Macaca fascicularis: one gene and its partners. The protein of the gene in region 1 purifies or fractionates together with the protein of each later gene. This does not show direct contact. Links are inferred from orthologs where the notes say so. Each region holds a gene or a part of one and is shown in the gene's direction. Other genes may lie near its edges.

What was found.
Region 2: the proteins of CTNNB1 (region 1) and TBL1X purify together in Homo sapiens (affinity purification with western blotting; 4 studies listed by BioGRID). This does not show direct contact. The link is inferred for Macaca fascicularis from reciprocal best matches to the Homo sapiens genes CTNNB1 and TBL1X.
Region 3: the proteins of CTNNB1 (region 1) and YAP1 purify together in Homo sapiens (co-immunoprecipitation; 11 studies listed by BioGRID and IntAct, with this or other methods). This does not show direct contact. The link is inferred for Macaca fascicularis from reciprocal best matches to the Homo sapiens genes CTNNB1 and YAP1.

Annotation. Positions count from the first base shown.
Region 1 is NC_088376.1:104,075,227-104,081,613, forward strand, and holds part of CTNNB1 (catenin beta-1), read left to right. Parts: intron 1-4,418; coding exon 4,419-4,522; intron 4,523-4,606; coding exon 4,607-4,945; intron 4,946-5,212; coding exon 5,213-5,371; intron 5,372-6,387. UniProt on the Homo sapiens protein: Key downstream component of the canonical Wnt signaling pathway.
Region 2 is NC_088395.1:9,142,459-9,148,945, forward strand, and holds the start of TBL1X (F-box-like/WD repeat-containing protein TBL1X), read left to right. Parts: upstream 1-2,428; 5' UTR 2,429-2,651; intron 2,652-4,201; exon of another isoform or gene 4,202-4,639; intron 4,640-5,206; exon of another isoform or gene 5,207-5,649; intron 5,650-6,487. UniProt on the Homo sapiens protein: F-box-like protein involved in the recruitment of the ubiquitin/19S proteasome complex to nuclear receptor-regulated transcription units. Plays an essential role in transcription activation mediated by nuclear receptors.
Region 3 is NC_088388.1:101,116,967-101,123,453, forward strand, and holds the start of YAP1 (transcriptional coactivator YAP1), read left to right. Parts: upstream 1-1,372; coding exon 1,373-1,693; intron 1,694-2,071; exon of another isoform or gene 2,072-2,538; intron 2,539-4,669; coding exon 4,670-4,920; intron 4,921-6,487. Other genes in the region: uncharacterized protein, read right to left, coding at 439-1,088, 1,146-1,374. UniProt on the Homo sapiens protein: Transcriptional regulator with dual roles as a coactivator and corepressor. Critical downstream regulatory target in the Hippo signaling pathway, crucial for organ size control and tumor suppression by restricting proliferation and promoting apoptosis.

The DNA of each region.
Region 1 (6,387 bases):
AGGCTCTTTTTTGGGTTCATGTGAATTTTTAAATATATATATATTTTTAATTCTGTGAAGAATGCCATTGGTAGTTTGATAGGAATAGCACTGAATCTGTGAATTGCTTTGGGCAGTATGGCCATTTTAACAATATTGATTCTTCCTATCCATGAAATAGAATGTCTTTTCATTTGTTGGTGTCATCTCTGATTTCTTTGAGCAGAGTTTTGTAATTCTTATTGTAGAGATCTTTCACCTCCCTGGTTAGCTGTATTCCTAGGTATTTTATTCTTTTTGTGGCTTTTGTAAATGGGATTGCAATCTTGATTTGGCTTGTAGCTTGGATGTTGTTAGTGTACAGAAATGTTTCTGACTTCTGTACATTGATTTTTATATCCTGAAACTTTGCTGAAGTTTATTGGATCAAGGAGCTTTTGGGCAGAAATTATGGGGTTTTCTAGGTATAGAATCATATTGTTTGCAAACAGACTTCCTATTTGTATGCATTTTCTTTCTCTTGCCTGATTATGACCAGTGTTTTGCCCTGATATTCTGTATTCTCAGTGAATAGATATCATCTAAGTATGAGAAACAATTTTTTTCTATTCTGAGTATTTTTAAGGAGGCAACTTGTATGTGGTACTTTGTATCTTGTGTATGTTGGCAATTGGGGAAAAGAATAGATGGTTTGTACTAGGGCCTCTTGGAGTGTGTGTGTGTCATGAAAATACTCTTTAGCTACCTAGCATTTTTTCTCCTTTCAGTAACCCGCCTAACAACATTTACCCGGAATTTCAAAGCAAGCTTCAAATCAGTATTGAAAGAGGGAAAAATATAAAGGCATTTAATGGAAGGAAGTGTTGGGAGTAAAGTATAGGGCTGGCAACACTTATTTTTCCCACTTATTGAGAGTAATTTTACCTGGGATTTTATGAGAGAGAAAGACATTATGATTGCTCCAGGTAACTGCTGGCAGTGGAGCCATAGGCTTGGGGATAGACAAATGTGGCTGAGTTCATACAGAATGAGGGGATGTAAATTCTGTCAGCTGTTCCAGCAGTAACCTGTAATGTAGGCTAAAAATACAGATTTTGAGATTTATTTAGTCAGAATCCCTGGAGTGTTAATTTTTATATCAAGATCTCATAGTGTTTATTTGAAGTGACAGGGAGGTCTGTAGATAGCTGGACTTGTATGGGACCGGAAGCCTAGGAATTTTTTCTTCCAGGTTATTCTTATATTCATTTGTTTATTCTGAACATAGCATCTAATGTATTTTAAGAAATGGAATAGGCACATGGTATACATTGGGTAACACAACAGTGCTTGTTTTTATAGTCTTGTGAAGGTGACAAAAGTATTTAAAAATATGTGATCATAAATTAGAATGAGTGTTATGGGAGAAGTGAACAGCAAATAGTGATAAGAATTAATGGGGAGGGGAATTGTCTAATTAGATGAGAGGGAAAGGGTCTCCTTGAAAAGGGGATAAGTGGGACTGCAGGATGAGAAGGAACCTTTCTCTTGTCTGTATGAGAAGTGAGGGTTAAATGTTTTCCAGGTAGAGAAAAGGAACACCATGTGCTGTGTCTTTAGAACCAGGGGTATCCAGTCTTTTGGCTCCCCTGGGCCACATTGGAAGAAGAGTAATTGTCTTGGACTACACACCAAATACACTAATGATAGCTGATGAGCTAAAACAAACAAACAAAAAATTGCAAAAGAATCTCATAATGTTTTAAGAAAGTTTACGAATTTGTGTTGGGCTACATTCAGAGCTGTCCTGGGCCACGTGGCCCATGGGCTGCAGGTTGGACAAGCTTGCCTTAGAAGGAAAGAGATTGTGGAGATCCAGGTGCTGAAGAGAAGGTCTGTGTAAACAGAACTTAGTAAGTAATGAGGTGGATGGCCTGGTATGAGGTTGAGGTTAGGTAAGCAGAGCCATAACATGCAGGACTTTCTAGGTTCCTATAAGATGTTTACTACTCATGGAGTTTATTCATGCTTTATTCCAGCTTTGGAGCCATAGATACAGAATACTTGGTCAGTTTGGAAGGCTAGGTGGGATCCAAATTCTAAACGGTTTCTCGGGGTTATACTAAAGTATTGTCTGCTATCTTAAAAGGATGCCGAGACACTTTTGATGGTTGTTGATCAATAGCAAAGCATCACAGTGGTGTGTTTAAAATATTAATAATAGCATTGTTTAGATTAACAGTTTGAATGACCAAAAGGTAGAAGACCAGACTGCTGAGATGTTATAGGCTTTTAGGAATCAAATAGTTTGGTTTTAGAACTAAATAGCTAAGGGCAAATGTCTGAGATGTCTGAAAGAATCACAGAATGTAATAATATAGGAGCTAAGGGAGCAACCAAAAATGGTTTGTGGAGGGGACAGTATTGGTACCATGAAGATAAATGGAACCCTCAGAAGGCATCCTTAATTTTTGAACATAATAATTTAAGAAGCTGACTTAGGCCGGGCGTGGTGGCTCACGCCTGTAATCCCAGCACTTTGGGAGGCTGAGGCAGGTGGATCACCAGGTCAGCAGATCGAGGCATCCTGGCTAACACGGTGAAACCTCGTCTCTACTAAAAATACAAAAAATTAGCCATTTAGCCAGGCATGGTGGTGGGCGCCTGTAGTCCCAGCTACTGGGGAGGCTGAGGCAGGAGAAGGAGAATGGCATGAACCCGGGAGGCGGAGCTTGCAGTGAGCCAAGATCGCGCCACTGCACTCCAGCCTAAGCGACACCATCTCAAAAAAAAAAAAAACAAAAAACGAAGCTGACTTAAAGTGACTAAAAGGTCAGTAGGTAGCTGGAAATGTAAGGTACTAGAGAATGCAAGAGAGACAGGCTAGAGATTTGGAAGTTTCCCTTTTAGTATATAGGGGTAAGGGCAGCAGGGAACGGGAGATAGAGATGCCACAGAGTCATCTGCATGGGACTTTTTTTACCCTAGAACTGCTGAAACAGAATGTGTGTGTTTTAAAGTCTCTGTAGGCCATTCTGATGGACATCTGGGGTTAAAATCCATTCTCAGAGTTAATAGTTATGTAAAGGGAGGGAATGAAGTCTTAATGAGGGGAAAGAAGGTAGTCATTTCACAAATACTGAGCATCCTGAGTATCAATCTTATGCAGATCCTTCTATTAGTAGCTGGAGCTACTATGAAAAAGGAACCCAATAGAGGTGATCTTTGTCTTGTAGGGAAAGTGGACTAACTTATACTATGAAGGAGAAGTGCAGGGTACCGTAAGAATTACAGCAAATAGACTTCATCTGAGGAAATAAAACAGACCTAAAAGATGAAGGAGACAAGGAAAAGTATCTCTTACTGCATTTAGAAGTGGTTTAAGTTGAAGATGGAGGGGTGAAGTTAATCTAGTATGTGGGCATTGGGTTTCCATTTATACTCCTTTGCCAGAGTAAATGTCCCCCATTTAAGGGTCCTAAAGGATTGGAAGGTCGTGAACCTTGGAACACATGTATTGCAGTCAGTGAACTGTATAAAGTCCCTGGCAGTAAAGTGTTTTCATGCCGACTTTCTGGATTGTTCTTACCCCAGAAATTTACCTAGCTTCTTTAGGTCTTTAGTCAGATGTCACCTTCACAGTGAGGTGACCTAATTACTTAAAATTGCAGCCCCACTCCATTGTTTTTCTCCATAGCCCTTTAATATCATCTGACCTACTGTATGGTTTTAGTTTATTGTATATTTGTTGTCTGCCTCTTCCAACTAGATCATAAGTTCTGAGGGTAGGAACTTTTGAATATTTTTGCTCACTGGTCTATCTCCAGCTCAGAACAGGACCTGATAGTGAATAAATATTTTTGAAATGATTGAATGGATGAAAAGAAATTAATAAGAATATTACCGCTGGGCGTGGTGGCTCTCATGCCTGTAATCTCAGCGCTTTGGGAGGCCAAGGCAGGCGGATCACAAGGTCAGGTGATCGAGACCATCCTGGCTAACATGGTGAAACCCTGTCTCTACTAAAAAATATAAAAAATTAGCCGGGTGCCTGTAGTCCCAGTTGCTCGGGAGGCTGAGGCAGGAGAATGGCATGAACCCGGGAGGCAGAGGTTGCAGGGAGCCGAGATTGTGCCACTGCACTCCAGCCTGGGCGACAGAGCGAGACTCCGTCTCAAAAAAAAATATATTACCTAAGGGGGATAGTGGAGATAACAAAGACTTCTTCGGCTTAGGAAAGGAACAGTAGCTATTTGACAATTTGTCACTAGTGATGTGAACTGGCAAAACGAGGGAAACTGAGCAACATTCTAGAAAATGAGAGGAAAACAAATACTTAGGTAAAAGGAAGTAAACTCTGGAAATAAAGAAGGACACCTTCTAAGACTAGAAAATATATTTAGGATTGATAGCAACTTCTAGCTAATGACTAGGGTCTTACATCCTTTTTAATTTTCTAGGTGGAATGCAAGCTTTAGGACTTCACCTGACAGATCCAAGTCAACGTCTTGTTCAGAACTGTCTTTGGACTCTCAGGAATCTTTCAGATGCTGCAACTAAACAGGTAAATTCTGAGTAAATTGACGCCATGGGAATAGAGTCAAGATGAGTATGTGCTTGTACTGACCATTTGTTTTTATCTTCATAGGAAGGGATGGAAGGTCTCCTTGGGACTCTTGTTCAGCTTCTGGGTTCAGATGATATAAATGTGGTCACCTGTGCAGCTGGAATTCTTTCTAACCTCACTTGCAATAATTATAAGAATAAGATGATGGTCTGCCAAGTGGGTGGTATAGAGGCTCTTGTGCGTACTGTCCTTCGGGCTGGTGACAGGGAAGACATCACTGAGCCTGCCATCTGTGCTCTTCGTCATCTGACCAGCCGACACCAAGAAGCAGAGATGGCCCAGAATGCAGTTCGCCTTCACTATGGACTACCAGTTGTGGTTAAGCTCTTACACCCACCATCCCACTGGCCTCTGATAAAGGTAAATTGTCAAAGTAGAATTTACCTTTGTTGCAGAATTGAAAATGAAGCATCTCTAGCCGTTGGATGGCTAAGCATAGTGATCAATAAATAGGAATTGTATTCGTTAGTAAGTAGGAAGTATGGCTGCGATAGGGGTAGGATTCTGAAATGTTTGTGTAGTCAGAACTACTTTTAGTTGTTCCCAATAGATTTATTGTGGTGGGAATTTTAGGCTAAGAAAATGATTGTGTTGAGTTGTATGCCAATTCTTCCTTCTGTTTTTCAGGCTACTGTTGGATTGATTCGAAATCTTGCCCTTTGTCCAGCAAATCATGCACCTTTGCGTGAGCAGGGTGCCATTCCACGACTAGTTCAGTTGCTTGTTCGTGCACATCAGGATACCCAGCGCCGTACGTCCATGGGTGGGACACAGCAGCAATTTGTGGTGGGTAAATTCTTATAGTGATACCTGGCTGTCTAAAAGGAATGCATAGATCCAAAGATCTGAACTTCTTTGGTCATTTGTTCTCCCCGTCCCTTTTCCTGAAGAGCTGATGACAAAATATGACTGCAGAGAAGATAAGGCATAGTGTGGCCCCAGTGATATTTCCTTGGACACGTCCTTCACATGGTCAGTCTTACAAAGGTTGGGTTAGGCATTTCATGTAGTGTTCTCATTTAATTTACACAAAGGCCCACTTAGGAAGAGGTAGAGTCATAATTTGAGACCAAATCTGTGTAATTTCAGAGCTTCTTACCCTTGCCTCATCATAAATTTTGACAATAAATATTTAGCAGTCCATTTTATTATCTTTTCTGTGAGTTAAACTTTTTTCATGGACCTAAGAATATAGTATAGACATACTTCAAAAATAAGTAGTAGCATTTCTGTACTCTTAACCACAATAGTCTCAACCTGAAGCTTTGATACAAAGTTTGAGTCTTAAAAGTAGCTTCATTAAAAGTATAGTCTGAAGATACTTCTGATTTCTCAGACTTTAAGACCTTATTTAATTAGGTTAGTTTAGAAAACAAAGATGGAGCCTACCAGAACAGATTTTAGGAATCTCATTTTGCTGGTTGCTTTGTGTATGTACTCATACTGGGGCTTTGGCTTGCTTCATTTATTACTGTTGGTATTGGCCCATCTCCATGAGGTGACTTAATAGAATGTTGAGGGAATCTTTTATTTTAAATCTCTTTTCTAGGAAAAAAGGAGTTTTTGTATCCTTGCAAGAATCAAATTATTTATAAAAGCTGCTAAATGTAGCAGAATCATAACCCCTTTTAAAACTCAAATCCAGAAACAGGAGAAACAGATGGTACTTAAATATTGCAAAAGCTAACTTCTCCTATACATGAGACTGTCAGCTGAATAGTCTTGGAAGAGTGAGGAGTGGATTTTTCTGCTGGCAACTCAGTTAGTTTTAGCAGTTGGTGCTAAAACTTGGCAAAGTTTTC
Region 2 (6,487 bases), on another chromosome or scaffold:
GTATATATACACACACACTTATATGTATAATAACGTGTATCCACCATCACAGTATTACGCAGAGTAGTTTCACCACTGTAAAAATCCACTGTGTTCCACCCATTCATCCCTTCCTCCTCCTTGAACCCCTGGCAACCACTGATCTTATTATCGTCTTACCTGTTTCGCCGTTTCCAGAATGTCATATGGTTGGAATCATACAGTATATGGCCTTTTCAGACTGGCTTCTTTCACTTAGCAATAGGCATTTAAGGTTCCCTTCTGTGTTTTGGGGGTTTGATAGGCCATTTCTTTGTAGTGCTGAGTAATATTCCACTATGTGGGTGAGCCACAGTTTGTTTGTCCATTCGCCTATTGAAGGATACTTTGGTCGCCTCCAGTGTTTGGTGATTATGAGTAAAGGTGCCATAAACCTCTGCATGCAGGTTTTTGGAGGATGTAAGTTTTCAACTTAGTTGGGTAAATACCTAGGAGCACAACTGCTGACCGTACGGTAAGACTATGTTTGGCTTTGTAGGAAATTGCTGAACTGTCTTCTGAAGTAGCTGTACAATTGTGCATTCCCAATAGCAACAAATGAGAGTTCCTGTTGTTCTGTATCCTGTCAGCATCTGGGATTGTCAGTTTTCTGAATTTTAGCCATTCTAATGTATGTAGTAGTAGCTCATTGTTATTTTAATTTGCAATTCCCTAATGATACATGATGTTCAGCATCTTCTCGTATGCTTATTTGCCATCTGTATATCTCTGATGAGATTTTTTTCTGATTGTTTGCTCTTTGATTCAGTTGTTTATTTTCTCATCGTGGAGTTTTAAGAATTATATATATACACACGCACACATATACACATATGTACATATATATGTACACACACATACACACATATACACACACACACACACTTGAAAAAATTAGAGACAAGTTCTTCTCTGTTGCCCAGGCTGGAGTGCAGTGGTGAGATCATAGCTCACAACAGCCTCCAACTCTTGGCCTCAAGCAGAGTTTTACAGGTGTGAGCCACTAAGCTGGCCTGCATATTTTAAATACAATCCTTAATCAGATATGGAATTTGCAAATATTTTCTCCCATTCTGTGACTTGTCTTCTCATTCTCTTAACAGTGTCTTTTGTAGACTTTTCAAATTTTAGTGATGCCCAACTTACTGTTTTTTTTCTTTTATGCATCATGCTTTTGGTGTTCTAGCTACACAGTCATTGCCAAACCCAAGGTCATCTAGATTTTCTCCTATGTTATCTTCTAAGAGTTTTTATAGTTTTACCTTTTATGTTAGGGAGTATGTTCTATTTTAAGTTAATTTTTGTGAAAGATATAAAGCCTATGTCTAGAATTTTTTTTTTTTTTTTTTTTGCATATGGGTGTCCAGTTGTTCCAGCACCACTTGTTAAAAAGGATGAATTGCCTTTGCTCCTTTGTGAAAGATTAGTTGAGTATATTTGTGTGAATTCCTACTGCCTTTTAATTAAAATTTTGGGTACTGTATATGGGGAATGCTGGTGGTATTTGTTGCAAGCAGATTCTTGTTTTCCCCTCCCTCCAGTCAATAACTGAAAATAAGTGTTTGCAACACACACACACACACACGCACACACGCACATGGCTAGTGCAGTGGGTATCTGTGTACATCATTGTGGACCCCTCGCCCTGTTATCCTTCAGCTTTCTCAGAATACACTAGCTCCTTCCGGCTGTACTTTATTTCCTTGTTTTCTCCCACCTTATAGGACTGCACATTTGAAAAATCGTTGAAACAGATTAAATAACACAGTCTAATTATCACCTACCGTACAGCCCATCTAGCATTTCAAAAAGAGGAATTTTGGTGAGTTCATGATAAATGTAGGCGGTCTCTCTTCCTGTCTTAGGTCTTACAGTGTCCTTTGGGGCCCTGTGAATCTATGATAAAAGATATTGACTCTTTACGGGTAATAAGGCCGGTGGGATTATTGGGCTATTACCAACCAGTCAAGATGAATTCTGAGCTCTTTTGCTTTGTCAGTTACAGGAGATCAGCTATAAATCCTGGCCACACAGTGCTCCAGTTTGAGAGTGATGATTTCCACCACTTTCCCATACTTTAAAAGATTGGCATCTGCCAAGTGATCAAAACACACAAAGAGGCCTTTTAACCAAGTTTAGCTTGAATTTCCAGTTGCTAACCACAAGCAGGTCTGGCAAGCTAGGAGGCCGGTTGGCTGCGCAGCTACTCCAGAGTGTGCGGTAGCCGAGGGCTGCGTCCGCGTAAAGCCCAGAGCTGTAATGATGTCAACTTGTTATTTACTTTCCAAATCTGAATGACTGAGCAAGGCGAAAGGAGAATCAATCAACCACAATGTGACCCTACAGGCGGAAAAAACGCAGCGCTCCCACCAGCAGGCGGTGGGGGAAGGGAAGCACGTGTAGCCAGGGCAGGGTTGCATCATGAGCTCTTTCGCTCGGGTTTTCTATTGCACCCTTCGTTTTTCGATTGCATGTAATAGTCAGCATCAGTCTGCACAAGCCCAGGGAGCCCGGGAGCAACGAAGGGCAGGCTCAAGGGAAGGCCCCACCAAGTCCTTCTGGGGGGCCTTGAATGGCAACTGATACGTAATAAGACACAATCTATTCTGCTGATTCACAATTATGGAGACTGTGTAAGTGTGTATTTTTTTTATTGATGTCCTCTAATGATGGTGTAGCAACAGTCATTTTGCATCATTGACGTTTTACGGCAATATTTTGCAGGGTAATTTTGAGGTCCGCCTTTTTGATGGAGGACCGGCCTCTTAAAAACTCACCTCCGGCCGGGCGCGGTGGCTCACGCCTGTAGTCCCAGCACTTTGGGAGGCCGAGGCCGGCGGATTGCCTGAGGTCAGGAGTTCGAGACCAGTCTGGCCAATATGGTGAAACTAAAACTACTAAAAATACAAAAAAATTAGCTGGGCGTGGTGGCGTGCGCCTGTAATCCCAGCTACTCCGGAGGCTGAGGCAGGGGAACTGCTTGAACCAGGGAGGTAGGTGGAGGTTGCAGTGAGTCGATATCGTGCCACAGCACCCCAGCTTGGGCAACTGAGCGAGACTCCGTCTCAGAAAAACAAAAACAAAAACAAAAACCTCACCTCGGGTCCCCCTCCCCCCACAACCAGAACAACAAATGGTCTAGTGTTCGAGGAAGAGCAAGTAAGGTTATAGTTTAGATTGCTGAGTGCACCGGACTCTTAGCACGAAGCTCATTATATAGTAAAGGAAGGGGCAAGAATATTTGAAAAATATTCAACAAGGCTGACCCCAGAGGTGCTGGGGAGGGGGAGTGGAGATCTGTTTAACTGAATTAAGGCCGCGAGTGGTGGGGAGTAGCCTACGTGGAGGGGAGGAAGGAGCGCTGGGGACTTAAGTGCACCGGGGCCAGGCCGTGTAAGCCATTGCAACATTAAGCACTTTGCAAGGCCCAGAGGGCTGAAGCCTGGGGGTTGGGGTGGGAGTGCTGAGGCCCGAGGGCCCAGGTCCCCCTAACCTCCTCAGCCCCCACACCCGAGCTCCTGGCGCCTATGCTTGTGTGTCTGAGTTTGTCCCTAAGCGTTTCTGGCTCTTCCTGGGAGGTGTTTTGCAAAGGTCGAGGCTCCGCCGGAGCCCCCACTTTTTGAGGTGGGGTAAAGACTACTGGGGTGTCTTCTAAGACGCTTATTTTGAGGGAGATTCACCATCGGGCAGGTGGCAGGGGGTTCTCTTGGGGCAGCTGGGTGGCTTCCTTATTGGGGTGGGGGAGGGTAACACTTTAGCAGGGACCGAGGTTCCCCTGCCCCCCCGAAACAGAGGGGGTGGCCGAGGTTCCCGTCCCCTCGAGGCAGTCGTGGAAAGGCTGGGTTTGGGATGTGATGGGGGTAGCCCTGGGGTCCTCTCAGTCCCACGGAGGCCACGGGGAAGGGACCGGGACCGGAGCAACTCGGGAAAGGCTTGGGTTCCCCTCACCCACCCTAGGCGTTGGGGAGCGGGGCGGGCTTGGTAGGGACGCTGGTCCCCCGACCGTGGGGCAGGGGCTGGGTTGGGACGCGGGTCCCCTCTAGGAGCCGCGGGGGAGGGGCAGGGCCGGAGTCCCTACCCTCGTGGGGGAGGGGCTGGTTCGGGACGCGGCTCCCCCGGGGCTCAGGGGCGGGGCTGGGTGGGACGCCGGGTGCCCTCCCACGGCCGTGAGGGAGGGGCTGGCGGAGGGGGCGGACCCCTGGCGGTAGTCCTGGTTGGGGTCCGCGCGCTCGCGACCGCTCCCCGCGGAGGTCACTGCCCGTGCCAGTCCCTCCCGCTGTTCCGCCCTCTCCCGCCGCCGCCGCCGCCGCCTCCGCCGCCGCGCCCGGCTCAGCGGCCCCACTCCGCGCTCGGGAGCGAGGAGTCGCCAGCGCCCCCGCCGCGCCGCCGCCGCAGCGCCCTCCGGCCGCCATTCGCCACCGAAACTTTCCAGCGCCCGCGCCCTCTCCGGGACTCGGCGGCGGCGGGGCGGGGGCGGCCCGGGGGCGGCGCGCGGCTGCTCCAGGGCGCCGGGCCCTCTTCGGCCGCCGCACGGCCGGGGCTCGGAGGCTGCCGGCCGGAGGGAGGTTCGGAGCGCGGCCGGGCGCGCGGCGCCGCCACAAGTTGCGCTGTTCGCGGCGAGGTGAGTGCGCGGGGCTCGGCGGGCCGGGCGCGGGGTCCGCAAACTTCTGCGGGGAGGCGGTTCCCGCGCTGACCCTCCAGGGTCTGGCCGGCGACTCGGGGCGCCCGGACGCTCCACCCGCCCCTGGAACTACAGGAGGCGCAGGTCGCCAACTGTCCCCGTGGCGCTCGGACTGGGGTGCGGCGCGCTCCCAGGAGGCTGAACAATACCCCGAGGTGGCCGCTCCCCAAAGTGCCGGCGCGCCTTGCGGGGAGAGACAGAGGTCGGCGGGGGGCTCCTTTGTTTTGGGGAGGGGTAGGTGACCGGTAAGTTTATGGAAGAGCTCGGCTTTTCCTCTGGTGCCCCTTTGTCTGCCGATCTTGGGGCTTGCTGGGCAAACCTGCGCCACCGCGGGCTCGGGGGACCGGGGTGGAGGGCGGTGGCGGGATTTCCCCGCTGTTGGGGAGAGGAGCCCCATTCATCCCCGGGAAGCGGGCCGGCCCGCCCGGACCCGGGTGGAAGCGCAGCCTTACGAAGTGAGGCAAGCGGCGGGCGAGGTGGCGCGGGCCCCGCGTCTGCTCAGTTTCTGAGGCGCAGAAACTGTCAAGGAAGTCAGGAGCCCCAGTCCTCCGCCCATCTCCCCGGCCCGAGCGCACAGCTGGGCTGGGGACACCCCTGGCCGGTCGAGGGTCTGCAGAGCGCCGCCCGGAGAGAGCGCAGACCTGTTGCTGCTCCTGGGCTCTGGCGGGGCGGGTGGGGTGGGTCTCGCAGATCCTGGGCCCCGGCCTTGCTACCCAGGAGGACCTTCCCTAAGGATGGGACCGGTGCTCGGAGTGGGGTATGGGGAGTGCGCCTTCGGGAATCAGCGCTGGCCGGATATGTGACAACTGTGGGTCGCTGGAGGCCCGCCTGCGCTGGGATAGGGCCTGGACCTCACGTGCGTCGCCTGTGCTCAGTCAGACCGGGGCCGGGACTCGCTCCCTGCAAGGCCTCGTGTTCCCCCAGCCAGCTGCGTTGGACGTTCCACAAAGGTAGGGACTGACGTTTATTTTCCAGTCAGTGATGTTCTGGAGCAAAACCTGAAAAGAAACAAAAACCTATCCTCTATTGTATTTGCGACTGTTTCTGCTTTGCATTGTCATGTGTGACTTGACCTGCCTTCTGGATGTTTTCCTCTCCTGACACATTCGCCGAGCCCCTGGTTTCACCTGGAAGGCGAGGGGGAAGGACGGCAACCTCCCTGCTAAGGTCCCAGGCAGTGGCTTTGGTGTCGGAAGTGGCACTTGAGGATTTTATGAAAAGTTTACAAGTCTTTCCTAGAAAAGATGTGATTAGGAAAAATAAAATACAGAAGAATGTTCAGTATGACGCGTTTATTTTAAAGGGTAGTCATGTCTCAAATGTGCTGCAGATTCTTGTGGAAAGCCACCAAGCTGGGTAACTAATACAGACAACGAGTTTTTCACCGCTGGATCACCGGCCCTTAAGGCGATTCCAGCCCTTAATAGAACACACACCTGTAGGGCAAAAATGGAGATTTGTGGTGTAGTGCTGCCACCCTCGCTCCCCCACCTGCCCCTTTACTGGGCTCAGAGAACTTCTCTCTGCCAGTGGTTTTAAGGAGGAGACAGTTTGCAAAAATAATAACTTTATTGTAGACATACTTAAAAGTGAATGTTTCAATTTCTGGAGTTTTCCCATCAATTATATCAGTACCGCTGGTTCTGTACAACATCATCTTAGTTAGAATATTTTTTTTTCACCTTTTAAGGTGAGGAACAGAGGCGGGAAAATGGTCCCTGCACAGGGAGGCCATCTCCAGCAGGTCCCAAGTGTCAGGAATTCAGATATTCCGATATACTCCTGCTG
Region 3 (6,487 bases), on another chromosome or scaffold:
CGGAGTCCACCCTTGGGCCAGGCACAGGGATAGCAGGGGTAGGCACCCAGCTCCCTGAGGATGAAAGGCAGGTACAGAGGAATGAATGCTTGTACCTGAAGAAGCACTGATTTTTTTGGGTTGAGGCTTCCAGTGACTATGTTGCAAACTCGAGTACTAAAACAGTTGATGTGATTTCACTATTTAGAAAATGTAGTGTTTTTGTTTCTTTTACTAAGTTACACTGACTCACAGACCTGGTCTCAAAGCTTCAATTACAGTAACCGTTTACCCTTTCAAGTGAGTTTTCGCACACTAACAGATAAGTGAAACAGAATTACAAAATAAAGTTAATGCTGAAAACAATGGACCTTTATTAACATCAGCGCCGGCTCACCGTATCTATTTTAACTCCCATCTATCCTGGCGGCTTTAAGCCCGCACTGGCGCTCCGCTCGGTCAAGCCGGGGTAACGCGGGGAGGAGGAGGTGGGTTCGCACATCCTCTCTCCACTTCTTTCGGCCTTCGTCCTTTCGCAAGTCCAGGCGAGCTGGAAGCGCCTTTCCCGAGCACGGGCCGGGAAAAGGAGCCGAGCGGGGCGGAAGGACTTTCTGGGGCCAAGGGCGGCCGCGTTCTCCGCAGAGACCACACTTCGGCCTCGGAATGGACCCAGCGTTTGTGGTTCGCGGCGTAGAACACGGGGCACGCTCCGGGCCCCTGCCGGGCTGAGCGCGGGCGAAGGGCGGACCGGACCAGGGCGAGCGGGTCACGTGCGACCGGGAGAGGCGCGGAGGGCTGGGAGTGTGCAGGAATGTAGCAACTTGCAGCGAAAAGTTTCCCTGCGCTGCCGGCCGGGCCGCGGTGCGGGCGGGCGCGCAGAGGAAGGAAGAGCCGAGAGGAGGCGGGGCCGCGGCGGCGCGGGCGGGCGCTTCTCACAACTTTAGTTTTGGCGTCTGAGGCGAGTTTCTGTCTCAGTCGGGCGCAGCCGCCGCCAGGGAAAAGAAAGGGAGGAAGGAAGGAACAAGAAAAGGAAATAAAAGAGAAAGGGGGAGGAGGGGAAAGGCAACGAGCTGTCCGGCCTCCGTCAAGGGAGTTGGAGGGAAAAAGTTCTCAGGCGCCGCAGGTCCGAGTCCCTCGCAGCCCCTCCCGAGGCGCAGCCGCCAGACCAGTGGAGCCGGGGCGCAGGGCGGGGGCGGAGGCGCCGGGGCGGGGGATGCGGGGCCGCGGCGCAGCCCCCCGGCCCTGAGAGCGAGGAGAGCGTCGCTCCCGCCGCCCAGCACCGCCCGGCCCGCAGCCGTCGCCGCTTCTCCACCTCGGCCTGTGGAGCCGGGGCGTCCGGGCGGAGCCCTCGCCCGCCTGGTTTAGGGGGTGCGCGTCGGGGGAGGCAGAAGCCATGGATCCCGGGCAGCAGCCGCCGCCTCAACCGGCCCCCCAGGGCCAAGGGCAGCCGCCTGCGCAGCCCCCCCAGGGGCAGGGCCCGCCGTCCGGACCCGGGCAGCCAGCACCCGCGGCGACCCAGGCGGCGCCGCAGGCACCCCCCGCCGGGCATCAGATCGTGCACGTCCGCGGGGACTCGGAGACCGACCTGGAGGCGCTCTTCAACGCCGTCATGAACCCCAAGACGGCTAACGTGCCCCAGACCGTGCCTATGAGGCTCCGGAAGCTGCCCGACTCCTTCTTCAAGCCGCCGGAGCCCAAATCCCACTCCCGACAGGTAACCTTGTCGCCCCTCTCCCCGCTTCCCCGTCGGGCGGGCCTCAGACCGGGGGGGCGCTCGGGAGCCGCGGCCGCCAGCTCTGGCCAGGGGAGGGGGTTGCGGGAGCTCTAGCTGGGGTGGGGGTCCCGCGGCGAAGTGGAGGAACTGGAGTCGTCCGCTCGGCCGCGGTGACCAGCTCCCCACTCCTCCCAGAGTCCGGGGCTGAGATTTGTTTTTCCTTTCGGAGTTTCTTTCTGCGGTTGCGGCCCCGGGGGGCGTGCTTTCCCTCCTTCCTTTCTTTCTTCCCGGGGTTCCCGGGAGGTTGGCGGGAGTGGAGGAGGGGTGGGGAGGAAGGAAGGGGGTGGGGGAGAGCCGAGCCTGGGCCGCGGTGGGCTTGCACAATGCGCGCGCCTCCGCGCGCTCCGCACCTTCGCTCCCGCCGGGGCCGGGCCGGGAAAGGGGGAGGGGGGCCTCTGGCATTTGTGTGTGGGTGAGTTGCCAGCGGCGGCCGAGTTTGTGAAGTTGAGCCCTGGGCCCCTTTCCTTTGCGGCCTCTCGGTCCACTTCAGTCTCCTGGGGGAGTCAAATAATTGTTCTCTTGTTTTCCAGTGTTGATTAGAGGTGGGGGTAGAACCGGTCCATTTAGTTTTTTGCTCTTTCTTTCCCTCCCCCCTACCCATTTCCCCTCCCCCTCTGCCTCCCCCTCCCGTAAGCATTTATTTTCCTCGCGGCTTAGGCGATTTCTGAATACAGGTTTCGGGCTTCCCCTGCCCAGACTTTCCTGGAAGTTGTTTATGGAGTTCTTTCACCCCTGCGCTTCCCTTGTGTCTTGGAACTTGGGTCGGCTCGCTCTTATCAAACTTAGTAGGTTGCGTGTTGGTTTCCCGATCGTAGGCTATTATTTACAGTCGGCTGAAAAGCTTTTGAATTAGCCACATCTGTACGTTGCGCAGGAACTGAGTTGCGCTTTACAGTACCGAGGTTTTAACACAAGCCTTTGATAATACACTGCGGGTTGACTCATAGGCCAAGTCCTGCCTAGTTCAACTGTGATTAAAAGTTAATGTTTGGGAAGCGATGACTAATTCTAGGATCGCCATTGCTTTTTAATTCTTATTGCGGATATGAACATGGCTGCTTTTCCACATACACAACGTTCGATTATTTTGCCAGCTTGATTCAGCATAGAAGTGAAACTATTTATAATGAGAGTGTTAACATTCCGATAGGTCCCAGTGGTTTTGTTTAGTGTAGGGTTCTCTCTTTTTCCTTCTTTTCTTTTTTCTTCTTTTTTTTTTTTTTAAAGAACTTGCTTCAGGCTAAACTTCAGCATAGGAACTTTGCCCAAAAGTTAATAGGTTTTCCAAATACTGCAATGTAGTTAGCCTACTCGGGCTGTAACTTGAGTGGAAAGAAGAGTTACCGCCCCCACTCCCATCCTCTGTCCTATTTGCGGGCCTGTTGTATATTCTTCTGTCAGAGACCACAGGGTTTTGGAACTCAGAAAAACTCACTTAACCTGATGACAAAAACCCGGGTTAAGGAGGAGGAAGGAAGGAAAAACAATTTAGCTGCTTGCCTAAACAGTTCAATTTGTCAGAAATAGACTTAGGTATGCTTTTTTTCTTACCCCTGGAAGTTGGTTTATGGACTCATTGTAAGTAAATGTGTGTTGGCATGCACCCTGCAGACTACACGGTATTTTTTCAAAGTATACTACACATAGATTGGATCCCCCATTTTGTGACAAAGAGTCACAACTGGAAAGTGTACTTTTTCTTCTAGTAGGTAATTTTTACAAGAATTTATATCCAGCAGTTCTAAAATTCATAAACTATTACAGTTTTGCTTTTAATAAGTTTTTAACTAAGTGTTGCTCATCTGTAAATTGGACTTTTATTTCTGCTAGTGATTTTCTAAATCATACTTATTCTGATGGGACACTCAGAAAGGTCTATCACTTTAAGGCATTAATGACTCTACTGAGTCCTTCCGGTTTCCTTACCTTTGTGAATCTAGGAAATTCTAACTTTTTGATAATCAAACTCTTAATTCTAATTAGACACATTTTAAAAACTATGCAAGATTGTGAATAGTAGAATGTAGGTTGTGAATACTATTGTTCACAACACAAACTGGTGACTATAAGTTGTTTTATATACATCCATTTTTCTGTCTTGAAAACTATGTTACAAACGAGAAAACAGGCATATGGAAGTTAACATACTTGTTCAGTGTCACACTAGCCAGCTTAGACTGGAACTCAGATCTTTGGGGTCTGAATGCAGAATTTTTTCTGCTTGTATAGAGTTGTGAATGTCTGTGAGTTCTTAAGTTATAATTGGACTGATAACCTCATTATCTTCTACATACAAATATATAGTTGAGTTTTTTTCATCTTGTTCATTGTAGATGGCTTTTAAGAACATTTGGGCAGTTCAAATTTGTTGCTTTCATTAAAAATTGTGTAATTTGTTATGATTTCTTTATTGATGGCGTTTTATCATGGTGGGAAAAAATGACGAGGGCTTGTTTTTTCTTGGGCTTGACCTAGAAAAAAAAATTAATTACTTAAAACCTAGTAAAAAATGCATATTGTTTGCGTTGTGTTTATACTTAGAACATTTTAGAACTTGGAAAAGCACCCATAACTGCAGTGACTTTTTAAAAATTAGGTTTTAAAATTCACTATTATTTTTGGAATGTTTTATTCATTCAGTACTAGTTGCCCTTACATGTCTGGTGTGTAGTAGGTGGAAATTCATTAGATGGACTGCTCATCAATAAAAGCACAAATATAAAACATATTAAAATTATATAATATTAAAAGTATCCGTTTGAAAACCTGTGTTCTCTAGTGTCGAATATTAAATGTTGAAATTTTCCTTTGGCACTTAGATACTCGGCTGCAATTAAGCACTGACTGGGAAATTTAAAGGGACTCTCTAAAAAGTTGTGTTTCTTTTTTAATTTTTCATCTTAATATTCCTAATAGGCCAGTACTGATGCAGGCACTGCAGGAGCCCTGACTCCACAGCATGTTCGAGCTCATTCCTCTCCAGCTTCTCTGCAGTTGGGAGCTGTTTCTCCTGGGACACTGACCCCCACTGGAGTAGTCTCTGGTCCAGCAGCTACACCCACAGCTCAGCATCTTCGACAGTCTTCTTTTGAGATACCTGATGATGTACCTCTGCCAGCAGGTTGGGAGATGGCAAAGACATCTTCTGGTCAGAGATACTTCTTAAAGTAAGTGAAAATAATGGTGGGAGACAGTTATCTAAGAAAAATATGTATTGGAAGACACAGTAAAGTGGTGTCAAGATACAGAATATCATTTGTTTTTATTTTTTTTAATATTTATGTTAAGCTCTAGAGCTCTGTTATATCTCCCATGTATATGTTTAAGTTTGGCGTGACCTAAATACCTTTGTTAGCATGGGTAATATTTTGAGAGCTTTACTGAGTCTTGGTTCTGAGCCTCTTTATAATCTTTTCTTTTGTGGAAGTTTGGTTATTCTCATTTTGAGCTTGTGCCAAACCTGTTAATTAGCCTAGCACAAAACAGAAAGAATACCATGAAAATTTTCAAATTCTGAGAATATTAGGGCTAGCAGCATCTTATGAAGTACGTGTGGTGCTACTTGTATCTTTTTAAATAAATATTTTATTGGTGGAGAACTACAAAATAAGTAGGGCTTTTGGGGGAGTCTAATTTTACAGTATTTTAAATTGTGAAATGACAAGCACTACAACTGAAGCTTGATGTGACTTACCAATATTTCCCCCCAAAATGTAAAGGGAAATGTAAATTTTTAGGTTTCATACGCAGTCTCTCAGTGGCAAACTTCTTTCAAGCTAGTAGATCTTCACAATAGAAACCCTCCTCTCTGGGAAAACAAAAACATGACCATTGGGTTGTTTATTTTTTTATCAGTCTTTTTGTGTTTAACAAAATGGCAAAATTGCACTAGGCTGAAAAGATCTAAATAGTTTCTCTCCTCTAATTTTGAAATTACAGATAGGACCTCAATTTTTTTCTGGCTTGTTTGGATCAAGTATATATAAAATGTTGACTAAAACTAATTATTATAGACCGAAATTGATGTCTTTAAAAAAGCTCACTTAATAGTGTTTAATCAAGTTGAGATAATAAAGTGAAAAACAGTGTAAGTTTTTATTCAGATCTGTCTTGACAGTCTACTCCTAAGGCAAGTGTAACATTTATTTATCATATCAGGTAATACCATTAAGGATGTTTTGTTGTGTGAATCCTAATATGTGTTTTATATTGATTGCCTTCCAGGGTGGGTTGCTGCTTTGTAATGTAAGATAGAAAATTTCGTGACAGACTTACAAAAGAGCAGAGGAAAAAGTTTGATCATGAAAAGTTCGTAGTTTTTTTTTTTGTTTTGTTTTGTTTCTTTTTTGCCCCCTTTCCTGCAACTTTTTGTTTTTCTTCTTCTTTTTAAAATTCATTTTCTGGTGTCCTGGTATCCATTTCAGAGGATCAGGTTTCAACCAGAACAGTAAAGGGCCTGAGACTGGAAAGTACACACAAGTCTGGCAAACTCATCTGCATGAGCAAGATCATTTGTTCTCAAGCAGACATCCAAAGTAAATGATTGAAAGAGCTGCTAGCTGTGAAGGATGTGTCTTGAAGGGGAAGGGAGTGGAAACAAACCAGGTTGTTAGGAAGAAAAAGAAAGGCTGCACTTTTTTGAACCTCTCCCTGCTGGGTCACATGCTGACCTGGGGAGATTTTTAAACAGCTTAATAGCCTGCTTGCCTTCTTTCTTTGGTGGATGCTGTGGCT